Mus musculus: one gene and its partners. The protein of the gene in region 1 interacts with the protein of each later gene in a pairwise test. Links are inferred from orthologs where the notes say so. Each region holds a gene or a part of one and is shown in the gene's direction. Other genes may lie near its edges.

Region 1 (5,124 bases):
AAATATGTTTAAATGTTTTACATTCTAAAATTTTAGAGGAGAGGTGTCATCTCAATTCACTTTCTCTTCTATAATAGAAAAAAAAAAAACCTGGCTAAATAGAACATAACTTGGTAAAGTTCTGAGAGGCAGAAAACCAACGCCCAGACGCAACCAAAACAGGCCTGGCAAAACATTATCCCGAGGAAACGTTTGTGTCCTCTCATCTGGCTTTAGACTATTGACAAATAGACCCCAAGAAATTGGAAGTCCTCCAGGAATTTGCTGAGGGAAGGAAAAGGCTGAAGCCTTGTGTCAATTACAGGGTGAGCATGTCTCCCAGGAAGAAATATCAGATATCAGATACTTAGTCAGACCTCCTTGCAGAAGAGACTGGAGCGGAGACAGAGACAGTAGCTGGAAGCACACTTTGACCTACTGCTTAGTCATACATACATCCTGACCTCTATCTAAACAAGATGAACTTGGGGCACTAAACCTCTGTTCCTCTTCTTAACGTGGCCACATTGAATTACTCCCATTTCTAGTATTTCACTATTTATATGTCACTTTACCTGGCTGGTTGAGGACAGGTGTCCTAACTTGGCAGGATGGGGATGCTAGAGCCCAGGATCTAACCCTATCTACTGCAGAGGTGCCACCTTTTCCTTTAATTTCAAGTAAACATGGTATGTGCCACTAGTGTGTAGGAAGGTTGATTTTTAAAGGGAATAAGAATTGAAGGCGTTGCTTAAACAGTTAATTTCTGTCACATTACTTGTACTCTGCATTTGTGGTTTTATCTGCCTCCTTCCTTTATAGCATGCCAAACAAGCTGCTTGTCCCTTGTTTCAAATGCTTTTTTAGACTTCAATTTATTTATTTATTTATTTATTTATTTATTTATTTTTCAGGATTCAGAAGTCAACTGACTTCAAGGATCAGAGAAAGCATTCCCTCCTACGACCCCCCCCCCCTTTTAATACAGTAAACGCTTGATTTAGCTTCCAGTGCCCAACACAAGTTCAGAATACAAGAAAGGAAAAGCAAGGCACTCTGCTGGGGGAGGAGCTTGGCACTCAAATCCACTCTGCTATAAAACAGTGGTATTCTGCTCATCTCAGAGAGAAGTGGGAACGTGTTAAGTAACACAGAAATTGTCTCAAAGCCTGTGCATCTATCTGCGCGTGTGCTTGGATTGGAAGAAGAGTCTGTTCGCTGGAGCTCCACGCAGCCAGAAGTCGGAAAGGTAAGAGGTGTGCAAAATCTGCCATTAAGTAGGGACTAAGGAAGAAACTGCCTGTGATGGTCCCAGAGGGTGAATCCCACAGCCGCTACCTTCCTATCCTGTAACTCTATAGTAAGCCACTTTCTCAAGTGCAAAAAAGCCTTGAGGCAGCTGGTTTTCGACGGTTGGGGGATATTTATTCCTTGCTCCACAGATGGGGAAAAAAAAATCAGCGTCTGGCAGCCGCTGATTGGTGGAAAAGAAAATGGTGATAGTGGAGTGGGAATGAGGATTTGCTGAGCCTCCCCCTGCTTCTTCGACCTGTAACTCTTCCTTAGTCGGCTCCCCTTTGCACCCAGAACCCTTTTAGACTCCTCCGGGGTAAAAACAAATGGAAATCTTAAGCTGTGTGAACAAAAGCAACCCCAAGGGTGTGTGCTCCCTCTCCATTGCCTGGCTCCGCACACAGACCATTTCAGGCGGTCCAGCTCTCTGGTGTGGCATCTGGGCTCGTCCTGGAGGAGGGGGTCGCCTAGAGGAACTGGGAACAGACTGAGGCAGGGAAGGAGGGGGGTGGGGCAGGAGAGGCGCCAGCTCAAGTTCAGCCACGATAAAACTGAGGGCCCTCTGAACTCGAGGGGAGGCTCAGGCCGTCCTCTCTTCCTTCCATCCGGGGGAATGTGCTCCAGATACCCACAGCCCTCACGCACCGCACCTCCAACCAACCCGTCCCCTCCCTAGGAAGAGGAGCGAAGGCACGAGGCAGGCGAGGGGCGGGGAGAGGCGCTGACAAATCAGCTGCGGGGGCGACGTGAAGGAGCCAGGGAGCCAGAGCGCCCGGCAGCAGGCAGCAGACGGCAGGAGACCAGCAGGTGTTCCCCCTGCCCCTGCCTGCCCTTGCCTCTTTCATTGAAATTAGATTGGGGAAAACAGGAAGAATCGGAGTTCTTCAGAAGCCTAGGGAGCCGGTAAGTACCTGTAGATGGGGCAGCTCTGGGGATCTTAGCTAGCCGGAGCAAAGAGCCGGGACGCCTAGAGAAGACCAACTACAGCTGCTTTGGCGGTGGGGACTGGGCCAGTGCGTGGAAAGTACATCACTCGGCTTTCCTTTCGCTGGAGACATGCCCTTCCATCCTGTCAAAGCCCGAGGGAAAGGCCAGGTTGCCTGTGGCATCTGCTTTTTCAAGCGGAAACGCTAGGGTGTTTCATGTTGAGTGCTGGATGGTGGAAGCTTAGTGCTGGGCATTGGGTGGAATTTGAGCATCCAACTTTCATGCTCCAACCCCAGGCATTTCAGCTTCTTTCTGTAGAGGAAGAAGGGTGCCTTTGGCCCATGATTAATAGAAGTGCAGAGGACAGTAGGCAACAGGTGATAAAGGGTTAATGAGCATGGGGTGCAGGGTCTTCTAGAGGATTCCAGCTGAGGACAGAGCTTCTTGGTTGGGTGGTGCTCAAGTGAGACTGCTCAAGTGTATGGACAGCGCCTGCTCTGGGCAGATAGCAGGCAAAGAGCTAGTGGTGGGCAGAAGGTCTTGCAAGATTAGAAAGGCTGGGCTTCAAGCAGTTCCCTACTTCTAGATTAAACAGTTCCCCTCCCTTCCTTCTCCAAAGACTGACTCCTCTCTGGGTCTTTTATCCTCTTGCCCCCACTCCATCTCTGTACGCCCACCTCCCATGTTCCTTTTCTAGATAGTCTTTTTACTTTGAATGTAACCTTTGGGCCCTGGGAACTTGATGGGGTAGAGGATGCCCACCTCCCCTTCTGCAACTCTTCTTCTGAAATATGTATGTAAGAGCAGTCGAATGATCAAACTAGATCCATCCCATCCTTAAGTGACATGACTTTTTCCTAGTATTGAGTGACATAACTCAACAATCAATCAACACTGTGCCCAGCACCCCCACATCCCCCCACCCAAGAAATCACACTTACACCAGGACTTGGGGGAAGGCATACTGATTTTTCCCCCTCAATTTCCTTTCTTTCTCTAGCTGTTTTAAACCTTATTATTATTATTTTTTTACCCAAATTTTCTAATTCAAAATGTATTCTGTATTCTCTAGTGTGGAGCAAAAATACATCTTTAGCCATGGATGTGTTCATGAAAGGACTTTCAAAGGCCAAGGAGGGAGTTGTGGCTGCTGCTGAGAAAACCAAGCAGGGTGTGGCAGAGGCAGCTGGAAAGACAAAAGAGGGAGTCCTCTATGTAGGTAGGTAGTGACACTGTGACTAATGAATTGGGGTGGCTGGTGTGTGGTGTCTGATTCGTGTGCATCACAGCTTCTCAGAAGAGTGACAGCTGTGTGGAGGTGAGAGAATATGAACCTGCATATTAGCTCTCAGAAACAAACAGGGACAATGTTTTCTGTCCTTAGATTCATTAATCTTGTTATTTATGTAGGTTTTTTATTTGGTTTTCTGTTTCTGTGTATGAATACACTGAATTTTAAAAATTGGCAACCCATGAAAAATAACCAAGAATATGCTTATGAATCAAAGACATGTATGGCAGTAAGCCTGGTGGCATTTGGGAAGTGGAGGCCCAAGGACCAGGAGTTGATGGTCATCTTCAGCTACACAGAGAATTTGATGCCAGCCTGAACTATGTGAGAACACACACACACACACACACACACACACACACACACTCACACTCTCTCTCTCTCTCTCTCTCTCTCTCTCTCTCTCTCACACACACACACACTCACACACACACACAATACACACACACACACTCTCTCTTACACACACACATACACACATACACACATACACACACACACATACACACACACACACACTCACACACACACACAAAGAAATAAAGAAATAAAGGAAGGAAGGAAGGAAGGAAGAAAGAAAGAAAGAAAGAGAAAGAAAGAAAGAAAGAAAGAAAGAAAGAAAGAAAGAAAGAAAGAAAGTGAGCCACAAGTACTCATGGGACTTTGATTTCTTTCATCATCACTATAGGTAATACCTGCTAAGTTTAATAAATTATAAAGCTTTAAACAATAGTTTTGCATAATTTTATTTTACAACTGTGAAAATACAACTCCTTTGACCCTCAAATAGAAGAAAGAAAGCAAGTCTTCTTTGGTGGATCTCCTTTTAGGGATCACTTGGTCAGTGGGAACAGCGGGACTTAAGGAACTTCAGAAATGTTTGTTTAGTTCACCTGTCAGAGATCATACATGCTGAACAGTAAGAGGTTGATATTTAGTGCCATTTTCTGCCTGACTGTACACATTGAAAGGAAGGCCAACACTCCCTTTCTCTGTCTTTCCCTGTGTTAAATTGGCTGTAACTTTACAAATCCCTTCTAGTACTTTCATGGAAGGAATAGACACCCATGCACACATGCTTATCCCCAGCAGAGACACAGGTGCACATGGGAGCACAGTTGCAGGGTTCATCTACCTCTCTTTCCTCCTGTGAACACTGTTTCCACCTTCTTAGGAGGGCATCTCTCTTGGTGGAAGACTCAGGGTAAACATTCAGGCTGAAAAGGAGCAGAACAGGTGGCAAAAGTGATGCAGATGCTACCCAGAGTACCAATCGGGGGAAGCCATGCTGACCCTCCAAACGATCAGTGAGGAATTGATACTTGTAAACATTTTCATGAATGTGTCTTTTCATTGAAGTTTCTAGCAGATCACCTTTCCTAATTCTTCACAGAATAATTTTACATTGAATTAATTCTCTTTTTCTACTTAAAACATCCTTTCAGAAAGTCTTGTAATGAGTATTGTAAGAGAAGGGTGTCAATGAGCTAATTTTAGAGTGTTTTTTTTTTAATGAATTGTGAAGTATAATGTTTTAGATAGAATTCAGAATATAAAAGCAGTAATTTGTAGATTTGGGGAAAAACTCAATTCTTCCACAACTACAGGCTTGTGACTGATTTTTTTTTTTTTTA
Region 2 (4,225 bases), on another chromosome or scaffold:
TACATTGTTTGTGTATTTTCCTAGTTGGGTGTCTCCACCCGTAAGGTATAAGTCTTCATAAAAACAGAGACATTGCCTTGCCTTGTGTCTTCAACAAACCAAACTAAGGGCTTTCTATTCTTCAGGCTTTTCAAGTAGTACCTGATACACAGTCAATGAAAGGTCAATATTGCTGTCTATTTTTAAAGTGAGGGGGGAAATACACAAGTTGAGAAACCTGTTCGATGTTGGACACCGACATCGAAAGGAAAAAGCACTTTTTCTGTAGTATACAAAGGGACAGATGGATGAAGGAACTAGATTGAAGGAATGTGAACCATAAACGTTCCACGCGCCTGAGACTCCTCAAATCGCTCGCCAGGGGTCGCTGCTCTCCCATGTCTCGATGCCAGTCCCTTTCTGGCGCGCACTCCTTTTGCGTCTCGGGCTCGCGCGCGCTGCCGCGGCACCGGAAGTGGCTGCGCTTGCAAGTTCCCCCGGTCTCTTCAGGGGAAACTGAGGCCGGCTTCTCCGGGAGATTCAGCACGAGCAGTCAGCCAGGTAGGCAGGCTTAAGTCCGCGGCATACTTCCCAGCCGCAAAACGCCCTAGTGTCTGGAAGCCACTGGGCCTATGAAGGGGGGATGTGGCCCCCCACGGCTCTCTGGGGCTCGCAGGTGAGAGCGCCGCCTCCCCTGTGCCTGACAGGCGCTGGGCCCAATGGGAGCCTTTGCCGTCCCGCTTCCGTGCCGACTCGACCCGCGGATTGGCTAAGCTGGGGCGGGCCGCGGGGGCGAGACCCCTCCTTCCAGAGAGGTCTAGGGGGCGCCCCTGAGGGAGGGCGGTTGCCTAGCAACGGGGCGGTGGCTCGGCGGGTACCCGGCCTAGGGGAGCGCGAGCAGTAAGCGAGGCCTCAGCCCACCCACCCGGGGCTCCGGCGCGGAGCGGCCTCCGGCCCTCGAGCCCTGCAGGGGGCTCCAGAAGGCCGCCTTGGGCTCGGCCTCAGGAAAAACGAGGTCTCCACTGTGGGAGCCCCGACCCTTCTTCCTGGCCGGTGGCGGGGCTCAGTGCCTCTCTCTCACCCCGTCTTTGTGCGTGGGGTGCCGGCGGCCATTGTGTCCGGGCGCGGAATGGAGGACCTGGCCGTCCCCCAGTGCTGTGTCCAGGGCCTTTGGGGAATTCAAAGACAACTAGCGGTGTTTGTGGGGGGTCTCCAGCATACGCCTCTCGGAAAAACCCGGGAGTGGTCTTTCCGAAATCAGATCACAGATCCGAGGCTGTCTTCCCCCTGTCCGCGTCCCTGCGCGAAACCTTGAGATTCACTTGGAAGTCCCTTTAGGGTTTCGGAAGCCTCATCTAGGGCTGGTACTTAAATAGAAAGAAAGAAAGGAGGGGTGGGGGGAAATTACACTAAACCCATACCTCCGGGAGAGTTCTCCTGACTCCCAGTAGGAGGCGGAGAGCCAAGGGGCGTGCTAGAGCGAGGGGGTTGGGCTCCCGGGTGGCTGGAGCCTGCGGAGCAGAGAGAGGCCGCCCTCGATCTGGTCGATGGAGGAACCAGGTTGTGAGGGGGCAGGTTCCTAAGCTTCGCAATTCCTCTGTCGCCTTCTGAGCTGCCTACCAGGTCGCATGATCCCTCCGGCCGGGGCTGGTTTTTTTTTTTTTTTTTTTTTTTTGCTGAGTTACCGGCGACCCAGCCACCACCTCCTCCCCGACCTATGATACAAAAGACCTTCCGGGGGTTGTACCTGCTTGCTGTCGCCGGAGATAGATTTGAATGTAGGTGGTGGTGGTGGGGATATGCCAATGGGGGTGACTTTTGGAGAAAGGCATTTCGGAGAAAAGGGGGTGGGTGGTTGTAGTAAAAAGAGGCGGATGAAACAATTCAAAGCTGGCTGGTCCTTTCAATTTGACTTCATTGAAGTCCCTTAGAACCCGGACTCAGACCTTCATAAGAGCCACAAAGAAAGCAATTCTGGTACCTGGAGGAGGAATGGGAATATTGTAAGGTAAATGACATGCATATTAAATTTTTCTCCTGAAGCTCTCTCTCTCTCTTCAGAACCTTATCTTGGCTTTGGATCCTGGAAGAGAATCGCTAAACACAGAGCAGACCCAGTAAGTGAGCAGGTGTTTTGGACAATGGACTGGTTGAGCCCATCTCTATTATAAAAATGTCTCAGAGCAACCGGGAGCTGGTGGTCGACTTTCTCTCCTACAAGCTTTCCCAGAAAGGATACAGCTGGAGTCAGTTTAGTGATGTCGAAGAGAATAGGACTGAGGCCCCAGAAGAAACTGAAGCAGAGAGGGAGACCCCCAGTGCCATCAATGGCAACCCATCCTGGCACCTGGCGGATAGCCCGGCCGTGAATGGAGCCACTGGCCACAGCAGCAGTTTGGATGCGCGGGAGGTGATTCCCATGGCAGCAGTGAAGCAAGCGCTGAGAGAGGCAGGCGATGAGTTTGAACTGCGGTACCGGAGAGCGTTCAGTGATCTAACATCCCAGCTTCACATAACCCCAGGGACCGCGTATCAGAGCTTTGAGCAGGTAGTGAATGAACTCTTTCGGGATGGAGTAAACTGGGGTCGCATCGTGGCCTTTTTCTCCTTTGGCGGGGCACTGTGCGTGGAAAGCGTAGACAAGGAGATGCAGGTATTGGTGAGTCGGATTGCAAGTTGGATGGCCACCTATCTGAATGACCACCTAGAGCCTTGGATCCAGGAGAACGGCGGCTGGGTAAGAACCACGCCCCTTGTGTGTCCGCCCCTTGCTTGTGTCTCTCTTCTCTGTGAACATCCCTAAAACTGCCCTTTTTGGTCTCTTTCTGTTATATGGCATGGTTGTTAAAGATACCGATTGTTCAGGAGACCTTCCTGGCTTCATTTTAATACAAGAGGTTAACTTTGGAAATATAGATGACCCAATTTTTAAGGGACCTGTATCTTTCATCCTGGCTACCCTTGTGGCCCCACAGTTTCATAGTTTTGTTCCAATTTCTCAGCAAAGAAAAACAGCCTATGTGTTTACTTGGCTTAAAACCTATGAGAGCAGCAAGTTCTCCCCGCGTTCTGCTCACTCTCATGAAATGGGTCACCTTGGCTGGGGTGATGAACATAATACCCAGGAAACTGCAGAACTGGAACCTCAGGCTGCTGTGTACTTGCATGCATGGTACTCAGACCATTTGGCCAGTCAGGAGCCCCCACTGGCTAGAGTGGCTGAGTATTGTCTGATTTTAGAGGAGGGTGGTCTGGGCCAATGGTGTTTGTGCTGTGCTCCTAAGTTCTTTTTCCCCAAAGTGTGCAACTTTCTGCATGGTTGGCTTGTTTGTAGAGCCCTTCCTGTGCCATATCAAGCCCCAGGACTTTGCACCTCGCTGCCCTGGATTGGTTGGGGATCTCCAGCTGCTCTGCCCAGTGTTTTTCTGGTCAGGGCCCTGGGGCCTCTTTACTGAAGCACTGTTTGCTGGCAGAGCAAGAACCTGGTTTGTGAGGCTCCATAGGAAATTAAGATTTGGTGACAGACTGTATGTGGGTGTGAGTCCTGGCCCTGTCACTTAACTGGCCATGTGACCTTGGACAGGCTGGTTTACCTTCTAGAGCCTTAGTTTCTAACAGACTATTGTGACCCAAAGATAAAGAGAGCAGAGGCTGACACAATGAGTGCTTTTTCTTCAGAATCCTGCTCGCCACCTCATCAGTCAGGGTGAGATAGAGGTGAGAGTTCCATTACTAGTAGCTGTCGTGGTAGGCGTTTGTTACCCTTCAGAGTGAACTGCATTCTGGAATAGGGGATATTGCGGCTTCTGAGACGTATTCTGTCTCCTTAGAATATGTAGAAAATGGACAGACTGGAAAATAAGTCATCCATTGAAGGAAGTGAGGTGGAAGGGGCCATGCACCATGGACTCCGGAATGTCAAGAATTTAGTTGTCCATAGGCTGGGCCTAGGGCGGGGCAAGCACTTTGCTTTACTACAGGGTAAGAGACCTCCAGGTTTTCCCTGGGACCCCATCCTGCCTCTAGTTTCCCATTTCTTTGAAACTTCACCTTTCTTCCCTCCAGTAGCTCTTGTAAAGGCAAGGAGGTCACTTGTCAGTAGAGGCCAGATGACCAGAGTAGAGTTGACTGAGGTAAAGGTGGGTTCCCTTGAGCTAAGGGTTGCCAGACTTGAAAGCTAATCTGTAAATGAACTCCCTGGGGAGATAAATGATTAAATAGTTCCTGTTGGTTTGTGCTGTGACCT
Region 3 (5,325 bases), on another chromosome or scaffold:
GTCACAGATGGAGACCCTTCAACAGCACCGTGTGTACAGCTGGCAAAGTGGCCTGGTGCTTTAGTTTCTGATCCTGATACTTCCTTGGATCCATCACATTTCAATCCCAGCCTAAACAGCAGACAGGGTGGGGGTCAGGGTTTCCTTAAAAAAAATTATCTAGGGTCTTATGTACTTCAGGCCTGCCTTAAATTCACTATGTAACCAAAGATGACCTTGAATTCCTGAGCCTCCTGCTTCTACTTCCCAAATCCAGAGATTAGAAAGGTTACATCACTATACCAGTATAGCTGTTTTCCTAACTCCTATGAACTATCCATATATATATATATATTTTTTTTTGAACGAAGATAGGAAGATCATTCAAATGGTGAGGGTTGTCTGCAGCAGCAACATGCTGTTCCTAAAGACTGCACATTTCCTAACCTTGGAAAAGGCCCAGCTCTGGGTTGATGAATACACAGCCTGAGGCATCTACCAGGCCTGAGATGGCAAACATGGCACTGGCGGGCCTTGCCTTTCCTCTTTTTTTCTCCTTGCTAAGAACCGTTAGATTACATTCCTAAAGCTAGCCACCAAGGTTTGTTACGCTATTTGTCCACTTCCTGAGGCTAACATACTAAGGTCCAGCTATCAAAATCCACCCCCTACCTTGGTTCACCTAATTAGCATGCCCCATAAAATAAACTTATCCTAAAGGGGTTTCTTCTTTTACCTTTATGAACTGCCATTTGCCAATACGCCAAGGCTGTCTCTTCTCTATCCAGAAGCAGTCCTTTGTCCCTCTGGAGCAAATAACCCGTCCCCCTCTCCCTCCTTTTCACTTCTTCCTCTTGCTCTATCTCCTGTCTTTGTCTCTTATTCCCTGCCCTTTTGTCACTCTGCTGAGAACTTTGTGTGTCTTGTGCCAGTTCCTGTCCTTGTACAGCCTATATGAGGTCCCAACTTGACACCAAGACCGTTTTCAGAACATCCCTGAAGCTGCAGTGCTGCTCTGGTCAACATATTTCATCTCCAACTCCTTCATACAGGTGAATGCTAGGAAGTGCCTACAGCAGCCCTGCTGGGAAGCAACCAGTTGAACTGGGACAGAAGCTGGGGCTTAGCACTTGATACCAAAACCTGTTTTTCTTCTATTATGCTCTACCTAAGGTCATGTTTGCCAGCTGCTCCACCCTGACCGCTGTAAAAGAGGCACCTGCTCCCAAGCTCAAACCTTCCAGCTACTAATATTATCCAAGGTTTAACTGGAGCCCCAAGCACTAAACACAGACTTGTTTCTGGTCTTTCTAGACTTCTCAGTTCTGACCCTGATAGAACTTGTTGCCTACAGGCAAGCACTCTCTCTCCGTGAACAGAACAGACTTTATAATTACAAGATTATCAAGCCAGTATGGCTTGGTGCAGACCTGTAATCTGAGCAGCAAGACGCTAAAACAGGAATATCTCCAGTTCAAGTCCAGCCTTGGACTACACAGTGTGCTCTAGGCCAGCCTGGGTTTCCCAGATGGGAGAGAGAAAAATGGGACAGCAGTTTCCTGTAGGTTATCACTCAGGGCTTGACTTTAGCTGAGAAAGAGTACAAACACACACTACTACTATGCAGGATCCATGAGGATGAGACCTGCTGGCTCTCCCATCCTGAGGGATAGGTGTGAGACTGGCCACGGGCCGGCAACGGTATGCTGGTGAGTCCGGTGGGTAAGCCCGATGCTCCCTGCGCAAAGCCTGGGGTTCCTATCCCACACTGCAGGACCCTAACTAACGCTGAGATCTGGGGAAGGTTTGCGGAGGGGTGGGAGTTGTCCGAGCGTCCGCGCATGCGCCTGCCGCGCCCGACTTCGAAATTGGAACCCGGAGAAACCAGTGGCGCCGAGGGACCTCACCGAGTGAAGGAGAACGGCGCGTGCGCCCGCTTGTGGGCGGAGCCTGGGCGCGGCAGGGGCGGGGCTTGTCGTCACGCGCAGCCCCGCCCCTCGGTCTCCGGGAGGCGGCAACCGCTACTCCTTGTCTCTTCCCGGTTGTCGGGGACTGCTTCACCTCAGTTCTCAGTGACTATGGGGGACCCCAGCAAGCAGGACATCCTGGCCATCTTCAAGCGCCTGCGCTCGGTGCCCACTAACAAGGTAACGGCCGCAGGCGGGCTTGGGACCCCGCGGCCCGCCGGACCCCGGTGTGGCCGCGGCCGTGGGAGGAGCCGCCCGGCCTGTGACACGTCGCACTGTGGGCCTGGCAGCCGCCGCTCCCCAACCTTCGTCAGCAAGGGGAGGAAAAGGGGGCGCCCACCAGGGGCTTAGCGCCTGGGGCACAGGGACATGGGCATCCGGAGGATGTCCAGGACTAAAAGGCAGAGAGCCTGGGGTCACAGGACTGGGGCATGGACATCTGGGATGTCTAGCATCCTAGGGCAGAGCGTCTGGGGTCACAGGGGGGGCTGGGACATGGACAGTTGGGGTGTCCGCCACCAGAGGCCAGAACACCTGGGGATAGACAGAAGACTGGGGCATGGACATCTGGAACAGGAGACCAGTGCATTTCATGGCAGAGAGAGGACTGGGGTATGGACCTCTAGGAGTGTCCAGGTTACCCAGACGCCAGACTACCTGGGGGCTTAGAGAGAAGGCTAGTTCATAGCATCTAGGGGTGTCTAGGGGTCTGGAGAACAGAGCACCTTGACCCAGAAGCACAGACATGGTAGGGTGGAGGAAACAGATGTTGGAAGTGTGTAGCTGGGCTCTGAGAAGGCTGGTGAGGCAGAGTTCACTCCTTCTGGCCTCTGTGAACAAAGGTAAAAATCCCAGCCACCTAGACCCAGGGGTCAGAACTCTAAGTGGTGCTAAGTTCTGGGAAAGAAGGGCTTCTCCCCCCACCATGGACCTTGTCTTGAGTGTTCTTCAGGGCTGGGGACCTGTTGGATTTTTGTCACCATTGTCCTTCGGTGGCAGCCTGTTTCCCAGTCCAGTAGAGCTAAGGTTCTCTTCCCTGGTTGCCAGCTCTCTGGGTTCCTGAGGAAGCTCACTAAAACTCACGTTCATCCCTCTGTAGGTTGAGGTCTGTCCCTACAATTTTTTTCTTCCCCTTATGTGACCCCCCCCACACACACACACACACAGACCCCACCCCCAACCACTGGGCCTCATAACTTTTAGCATGTGGCTGGCAGTGTTGTTTTGATACACAGGGTTAAGGTGTCTACTTCCTTAGGATGACGGAGTAGGGTGGAACCCGAGGAGTGCAAAGGGCTGTCGTGTCACTGTGGACTCTCCCCACCCCTCTCCAAGTTCCATCTGGTTGCCACCTTCACCTCTGAGGAACCATCTGTTAATGGGCACAGCCGTGATTACAGAGTCCTGCATGGCTGGCATAGAAAGTTCCAACATGTCACAAAATTCAGGCTTTTTTTTTTTTTAATGTCTTGATGGTGGAAGGGAGCCCTAGGTTTTTATAGCCTTATGATGAAGGAAATGGTTAAATGGGGGTGATAATGTCAGGTGGGTATAAGGAAGAAGAGCTGGCTTCCAGCCACTGCATTGTCCAGTGTCTGTCACTTGCTGGTTTCTTGTTTTTTGTTTATTTTTTTCAGATTTAGATTGATCTGTGTGTAGCAAGGACTTGCTTCTTACCACACAAGGTTGGATCTCCAGCTGGCAGGCTGGGAAAGTGCGTATGCTGCCACTTTCTCTGAGTTGCACGCCAGTGTGTATTCCCTTCGAATGTATCAAAAAGGCCACTGCTAAATAACAAAACAAAAAAGCAAGAAGCAACAACAAAAAAAAGGAAGACACTCCTTTTACATCAGAAGTCCCTGTCATCAATACCAGCAGACACTTTTAAGGAGCCCACGTGGGCTTGCTTGTGTATTAAAATGTTAGTTGAGTACAGTAGCACATGGTGCGACCCCAGCACTTGGGAGGTGAAAGCAAGAAGAACAAGAGTTCAAGGGCAGCCTCCGCTACAGAGCAAGTTCTAAGCCAGCCTTAGACTACATTAGACTACTTCTCCAAAAAAAAAAAAAAAAAAAGTAAAATTATTGTCCAGCTGGCCATGAGAGTACATACCTAGAGTCCCAGCCCTTGGGAAACTGAGGCGGTTGGATTTCCAATAGTTAAAGGCCAGCTTGAGGTACGTAGTGGTTTTTTGATTAGTATGTGTTACAAAGCAACACAAAATGCCTCAAAATGTAAACACCCAGACACACACGAAAGCCTGGTCAGACACTAAACCACATGAATGCAGCCCTCCCCCTTTTTTCATTTTATTCTGAAGAGCACACCTATAGAAACTTTATGTTCTATAATATGATATTTTTTAAATTATTGATTTTAAATATATGAGTCCTCTGTCTCTGTCTTCAGACACATCAGAAGAGAACATTAGACCCCATTACAGATGGTTGTGAGCCACCATGTGGTTGCTGGGATTTGAACTCAGGACCTCTGGAAGAGCAGTCAGTGCTCTTAACCACCGAGTCATCTCTCCTGTGATATGATTTCTAAAGCAAGATTCCAAAGTAGCTTCTGGTCATGTCTCATGGCACTGGCTTTCCTTTATGGTTGTGGCTTGAAGCCATTGCTGACTGGATGGATTTGACGTGAAAAGTGATGAAACTAGTTTCTGGTTTTGTGAGATGGGGTTTCTCTGTGTATCCCTAGATGTCCTGGAATCCACTCTGTAGACCAGGCTAGCCTCAAACTCACAGAGATTTGCCTGCTGCTGCCTCTGCTTCCGCAGTGATGGGATTAAAGCTGTGCCCCACCACGCCCTGCTGGTGAAAACTAGTTCTAATGACTAGAAGGACTGGGCAACAATAAGCTCCATCATTCTAGTGTAGTGCTGGGGTTTGAACCTAGGACCTGTGTACTCTAAACAGGCACTTTGCCATTGAGCAATACCTTCAGTTCGTTCTTCCTTCCTTTTTTCGTTTTTTCTTTTCTTTCTTTTCTTTTCCTTTCTCTTCTTTTCCTTTCTCTTCTCTTCTCTTCTCTTCTTTTCTTTTCTTTTCTTTTCCTTTCTTTTCTTTTTGAGACAGGTTTTGCCTATGTAGCCCAGGCCAGCTTTGAACTCACTATGTAACCCTAGGCTGGCCTTGAATTTTGCAATCCTTGCCACAGCTTTCTGAATGACAAAATTATGAGATGAGGATGGCTTCAAGCCACCCAGTCATCATGCCTAGCTTAACAGCACTCTTAAACTGCTTGAGTTGAGGCAGGAGGATTGCCAAATTCAAGGCTAGACCATATAACAATGTTCTTTCACAAATGAAAATTAAAAACAACAACAACAACAAAATAAGTACACTATGTAAAGACTCATCTGGGGTTGTAA
Region 4 (4,568 bases), on another chromosome or scaffold:
GGATAGCCAGAGCTACACAGAAACTTTCTTGGAGAGAGAGGGAAAAAAAGGTTGGGGGGGGGGTAGAGGTAGGGAGAAAATGGTGTCGAATGGTGGTGTAATTCACATTATGTTTTGGAGTTGTCATTGGTCATTTGTCCCCAAGGCTGAGAGTACTGCAGGAGTGATTTGTCATGGCATGAGCTATAGGAGCCACAGAAGAGTAAAGCTAGAGGCATTTCCACCTTCCTGAAGGTCCTGATCTGCTAGGCTGGTTGGCCCCAACTTGTCTTGTCCCTGTGGACCTGCCATTTGGCAAGGGTGGTATGGTGTCCCAGAGAGTACTGCTTTGGGGGTTCAGGGAGTTGCTGACATAACTGGTGAAGTGAGTCACCATAGCTCCTGGCTGGCAAGTTCAGCTCAGAGTCCAGGTCCTTAAAAGTAGTCAGAGGTCATTTTTCATCTGCAGATTCATTCTAGATGAAGTCATTTCTTGTGTGAGTGGATAAGCTGCCCTGACTGTAGGCAAGAAGAATAAGATATATTGCTTCTTACTATAGTGTTCCCAAAGATTTCTTGTGGAGTAGTAAGTGAAGTTCTTCCACCTAGATATGTCAGTGGCATTCCTGTTATTCTTACAGATCTGCAGCATCGGAGATTGGCTTTTGGCCCAGGTGTGGTCAGAGCAGCCAGCCATCTGACAGACCAAAATGACTTGTCTATGATTCTTGGGTGGCAGCAGACACAATTTGTTGGCTTTAGGTTGTCCCTATGCCTATAGGCCACCTAAGTGACTCATTCCTCGGCTCCCTGTGAAACTCTTGCATACCCCTCCCATCTCAGTTAACAAAGAGATTGAGTCACGGAGAGCTAGCCAGGCTTCTCAGTCCACAGCTTCTCTACCCAGCACAGAACCTGGTCATGCTTGGTTGTATCAGGCTCTATTTAAAAAAAAAAAAAGAAAAGAAAAGTACAAATCTTTTTCAAATAACTACAGTCCTTGGAGTATAGAACTGCTTTCCACTTAGAAACAACCTGTCGAGGAAGAGGGCTGTGTGGAATGTTAGGTCCTGGATGTACCATGCAGAAGCAGGGAAACTCCGAAGCAGCCTGGACCAGGTAGACTGAGGAACATTTATGTGGGAGCTTTTAGAGTAAAGCATGAAAGGGATGCTTACAGATAACACCGTCTTTACCTCCAAATTCCACAGCCCTAGTTATCGTAACATCGTCACAAATTAACAAAAACTCTGTGGCCCCAAGGGGCTGAGGGTGGCACCTGCCTTTAATCCTAGCATTTGAGAGACAGAGGTAGGTCAGTCTGAATTCAAGGCCAGTCTGATCTACAAAAAGGAGTGGAGAGTTTTCCCTTGGTTTAGTTGAGGGTCTTTGTTAAGCCTATGGTAGTTTGTTTGGAGATGATTGTGTCCACATTAGAACCACTGGTGAGAAACTGTTGAGGTGTGTGGGTAGACGTCAGGCTTGTCTGGCCTGAGATCGGGAGGAGAGAGAATAGGGGGACACTCAGCTGTCCTCCTCTTGGGAGACTCAGGCACGCTCCAAAAGGCCTATCAAACCGTCACAGAGAAGCATCCCATTGCTCTCTGTCTTAGTTAGCCCTGAGTGGGTAGAAGGAATGGGGCCTGCAGCTATATTGACTAGCTGGTGGGTACAATGGGTACAGGTAAAAATGGAAGGTAGAATGTCAAAGATGTTTTCTTACATGTTTTTGAATAAAGATAGTTTTTTTGTGTGTTGGTCAGCCAGCAGTACCTTCTCTTAATAGGAAGTACAAAGCACTATCATTTAGTCCGTCTTAGGAAGCCAGTACTATAAGGGGTAGGGTGTGGTGTGGTTCAGTGGCATGGTTTTGGCCATGTGCAAGGGTGTTGGATTCCATCCCTAGCACTGTTCCTGCCTCACAAAGATGTAATGGATATCAAATAACCCAAAAGCTTTGGGTTATGTGGTAGACACAGAATAATATATGTAACTTTGTTTGTTTGTAAGGTACGGACATTGCTGCGGGAGAAGAAGTTGCCATCAAGCTTGAATGTGTCAAAACCAAACATCCTCAGCTCCACATTGAGAGCAAGATCTACAAAATGATGCAGGGAGGAGGTAAGGTTCATGTTCAGTTCATGTCTACCATAGCCTACAGATGATACATAGCTTACAGATACATCGCCTACAGATAGAGCAGACCTCACACCCCAGAGGAAGCAGACTTAATGGGCTTTGCTTAAGAGCTCCCCCTATTAGCTTCCCATTAAATGATAATGTCTTTGAAAGATGGATTTTGTGTAAATTTCAAAGTAAACATGGTGCTCCTTGTCACAGCACAGTGCTTCCTGCTAGCTGGCTTCTTCTGGGTCACATGCTTTCCTTAGAACTTGAGGGTAGTCTCATAAAACTCTGAAGTTTCAGTTTTCTCTTGGATAGGAGTTTTGAACATAACTTCTCTGACTCCCAGCTAAGTCACTGTTCTCAGTTCTGTAAAACTTTACTGCAAGACCTTGGAGTACTAAGTAGTTTGCCTGATGAAACAGGAGCTCTAATTTGAGGCTTTCAAGACCATGAGACCCAACCCCACCTCCTAGGATAGGAGCCTGCTTGTGACAGGATTTGTATCTGAAAAACAAACAAACAAACAAACCACAGAAGCCTCTGTGGTGCTGTGATAGTTGGAATAGGGAGGAGAGCCCCCCACCATGTGACCATGTGACCCCCCCACCATGTGACAGACTCTTTATTGGCCTCAGCAGGAAAAGGGAAACTGTTGGTTTGATGTTTTGTTGCCCTCCCTCAGCAAAAGCAATTTAATTCTACCTCTCCTGGAAACCAACTTTCTCTAACAAAATGTCTAAGGCAGTAGCTGCATGCCATTGTGTGTCCATCTTAGTGGCCATTGTATTCCCTTAATGTCCATTGTATCCTATCCTGGGTATAGAATCAAAGGAGGCCATAGGTAGATGAACAATACCTGGTGACATCCACACATACCTTCCAAACATAGGGCTGGTGCACATATGAACTCACAGAGACTGTCTATGGGCCTAATCCAGATGGGTTCCCAGCCCCAAGAGAGGAAGTAGACACAAGCGACCATCCCTAAACCAGAAGCTATCTCCAACAGAGTATCACCAGTTATACAAAACAAGCCACTCTTAAGGATAAATGTCATGCCCAGCAGTAGATGAACAAGACAGCATGAACTCAATGGCATTTTTGGGTTCCTTGTCTCATAATGATTTGTTTGGACATTTTTGTTCTTTTTTCTTTTGCTTTTCCTGTCAGATCTTTTGCTTATGTTTTATGGTTTCTGGTGTTGTGTGTTAATTGGGAGTTCTCTGTGTGTCTCTGCATCTGTATGTGTTTCATGTGCTCTTTGGTTCTTTTGTTGTTTTATCCTTTTCCGTTTTGTTGGGTTTTATTTTTAACTTTATTTTCTCAAAAAGAGGTCAGCAGAGTCCCAGTCCTGTACGCCTGCCCTTTGGCACATCCTCAGTAGGACAGTCTTCGTGAGGGCATTAGCTTTTGTAACAAGTGGAGTAGAACAAAACAGCATAAGAATTAAGCTTAATGCATGAAGGGGTTATAATAAGTTCTGAAAATGTGCTAGCCTAGAGTGCCTAAGGGTGCTGCAGCCTGATAGTGGTCAGAAAGGAGCATAGTGGGCTCCAGAGAGGCACGAGGTTCCAGCATCCCTGCCATGTGCTATGGTTACTGCTCTTTTTTTTTTTTTTTTTTTTTTTTTAAAGATTTATTTATTTATTATATGTAAGTACATTGTAGCTGTCTTCAGACACTCCAGAAGAGGGAGTCAGATCTCCTTACGGATGGTTGTGAGCCACCATGTGGTTGCTGGGATTTGAACTCTGGACCTTCAGAAGAGCAGTCGGGTGCTCTTACCCACTGAGCCATCTCACCAGCCCTGGTTACTGCTCTTTGTGCACTGTGTCAGTTGCCCTCCCAGGTTATGATTGGAGAATAAAGTTGTGGATAGTGCAGGGTACCTACTGCTGGGTAGCATTACTCACTGTGTGGGCCCTTAATCACTTGCCCATATCCCTTCTCTAGATGCCTGGAATCCACACAAGATTGAGAAGTGGGTGGCAGCCTTTCTTGGCCTTTGAACATTGTTCTGGCTTTGGTCAGGTTTTACTCTTGCTGCCTACTTACTGTGTAGTCCTGCAGGTCTCTGTTTTAGGAAACAGGAAAAGGATGCACAGTTACAGCAGTTTTTAATTATCTGAGACTAGATGGGGGGGGGGGGGTGCACTTTGCTCAGAAACCACAAGGTATTGCTCCCTGACAAGTGTCATGTTTTTCTGTATGTAGGTGGTATAGGTCACTTTGCTGCCTTCTGAAAGGAACAAGTGCTGCTTTGGTTGTCTAGATCTTGTTTACCTTGGCTCTGGCTATGCAAAAAAAAAAAAAAAACCAAGAAGGAAAGCATGATTGGCTGAAGCGCTGGGAGACCGTGGTGTCACGGTGTCTGATTGAGAGCTGCCGTGCTGGGCGAAAAGCCAGCTTGCGGTTCTGTGTGGTCACTGTGCAGTGGGTGCTACAGAAGGCAAGATGGTGGG

The links.
Region 2: the proteins of Snca (region 1) and Bcl2l1 interact in binary tests that used the Homo sapiens proteins (3 or more experiments, as listed by UniProt). The link is inferred for Mus musculus from reciprocal best matches to the Homo sapiens genes SNCA and BCL2L1.
Region 3: the proteins of Snca (region 1) and Arfgap3 interact in binary tests that used the Homo sapiens proteins (3 or more experiments, as listed by UniProt). The link is inferred for Mus musculus from reciprocal best matches to the Homo sapiens genes SNCA and ARFGAP3.
Region 4: the proteins of Snca (region 1) and Csnk1d interact in binary tests that used the Homo sapiens proteins (3 or more experiments, as listed by UniProt). The link is inferred for Mus musculus from reciprocal best matches to the Homo sapiens genes SNCA and CSNK1D.

What each region holds. Positions count from the first base shown.
Region 1 is NC_000072.6:60,825,775-60,830,898, reverse strand, and holds the start of Snca (alpha-synuclein), read left to right. Parts: upstream 1-1,894; 5' UTR 1,895-2,175; intron 2,176-3,271; 5' UTR 3,272-3,297; coding exon 3,298-3,418; intron 3,419-5,124. UniProt on the Homo sapiens protein: Neuronal protein that plays several roles in synaptic activity such as regulation of synaptic vesicle trafficking and subsequent neurotransmitter release.
Region 2 is NC_000068.7:152,827,918-152,832,142, reverse strand, and holds the start of Bcl2l1 (bcl-2-like protein 1), read left to right. Parts: upstream 1-1,425; 5' UTR 1,426-1,757; exon of another isoform or gene 1,758-1,956; intron 1,957-2,022; exon of another isoform or gene 2,023-2,040; 5' UTR 2,041-2,152; coding exon 2,153-2,716; exon of another isoform or gene 2,717-3,696; intron 3,697-4,225. UniProt on the Homo sapiens protein: Potent inhibitor of cell death. Inhibits activation of caspases. Appears to regulate cell death by blocking the voltage-dependent anion channel (VDAC) by binding to it and preventing the release of the caspase activator, CYC1, from the mitochondrial membrane.
Region 3 is NC_000081.6:83,346,882-83,352,206, reverse strand, and holds the start of Arfgap3 (ADP-ribosylation factor GTPase-activating protein 3), read left to right. Parts: upstream 1-1,959; 5' UTR 1,960-2,057; coding exon 2,058-2,126; intron 2,127-5,325.
Region 4 is NC_000077.6:120,980,765-120,985,332, reverse strand, and holds part of Csnk1d (casein kinase I isoform delta), read left to right. Parts: intron 1-1,989; coding exon 1,990-2,100; intron 2,101-4,568. UniProt on the Homo sapiens protein: Essential serine/threonine-protein kinase that regulates diverse cellular growth and survival processes including Wnt signaling, DNA repair and circadian rhythms. It can phosphorylate a large number of proteins.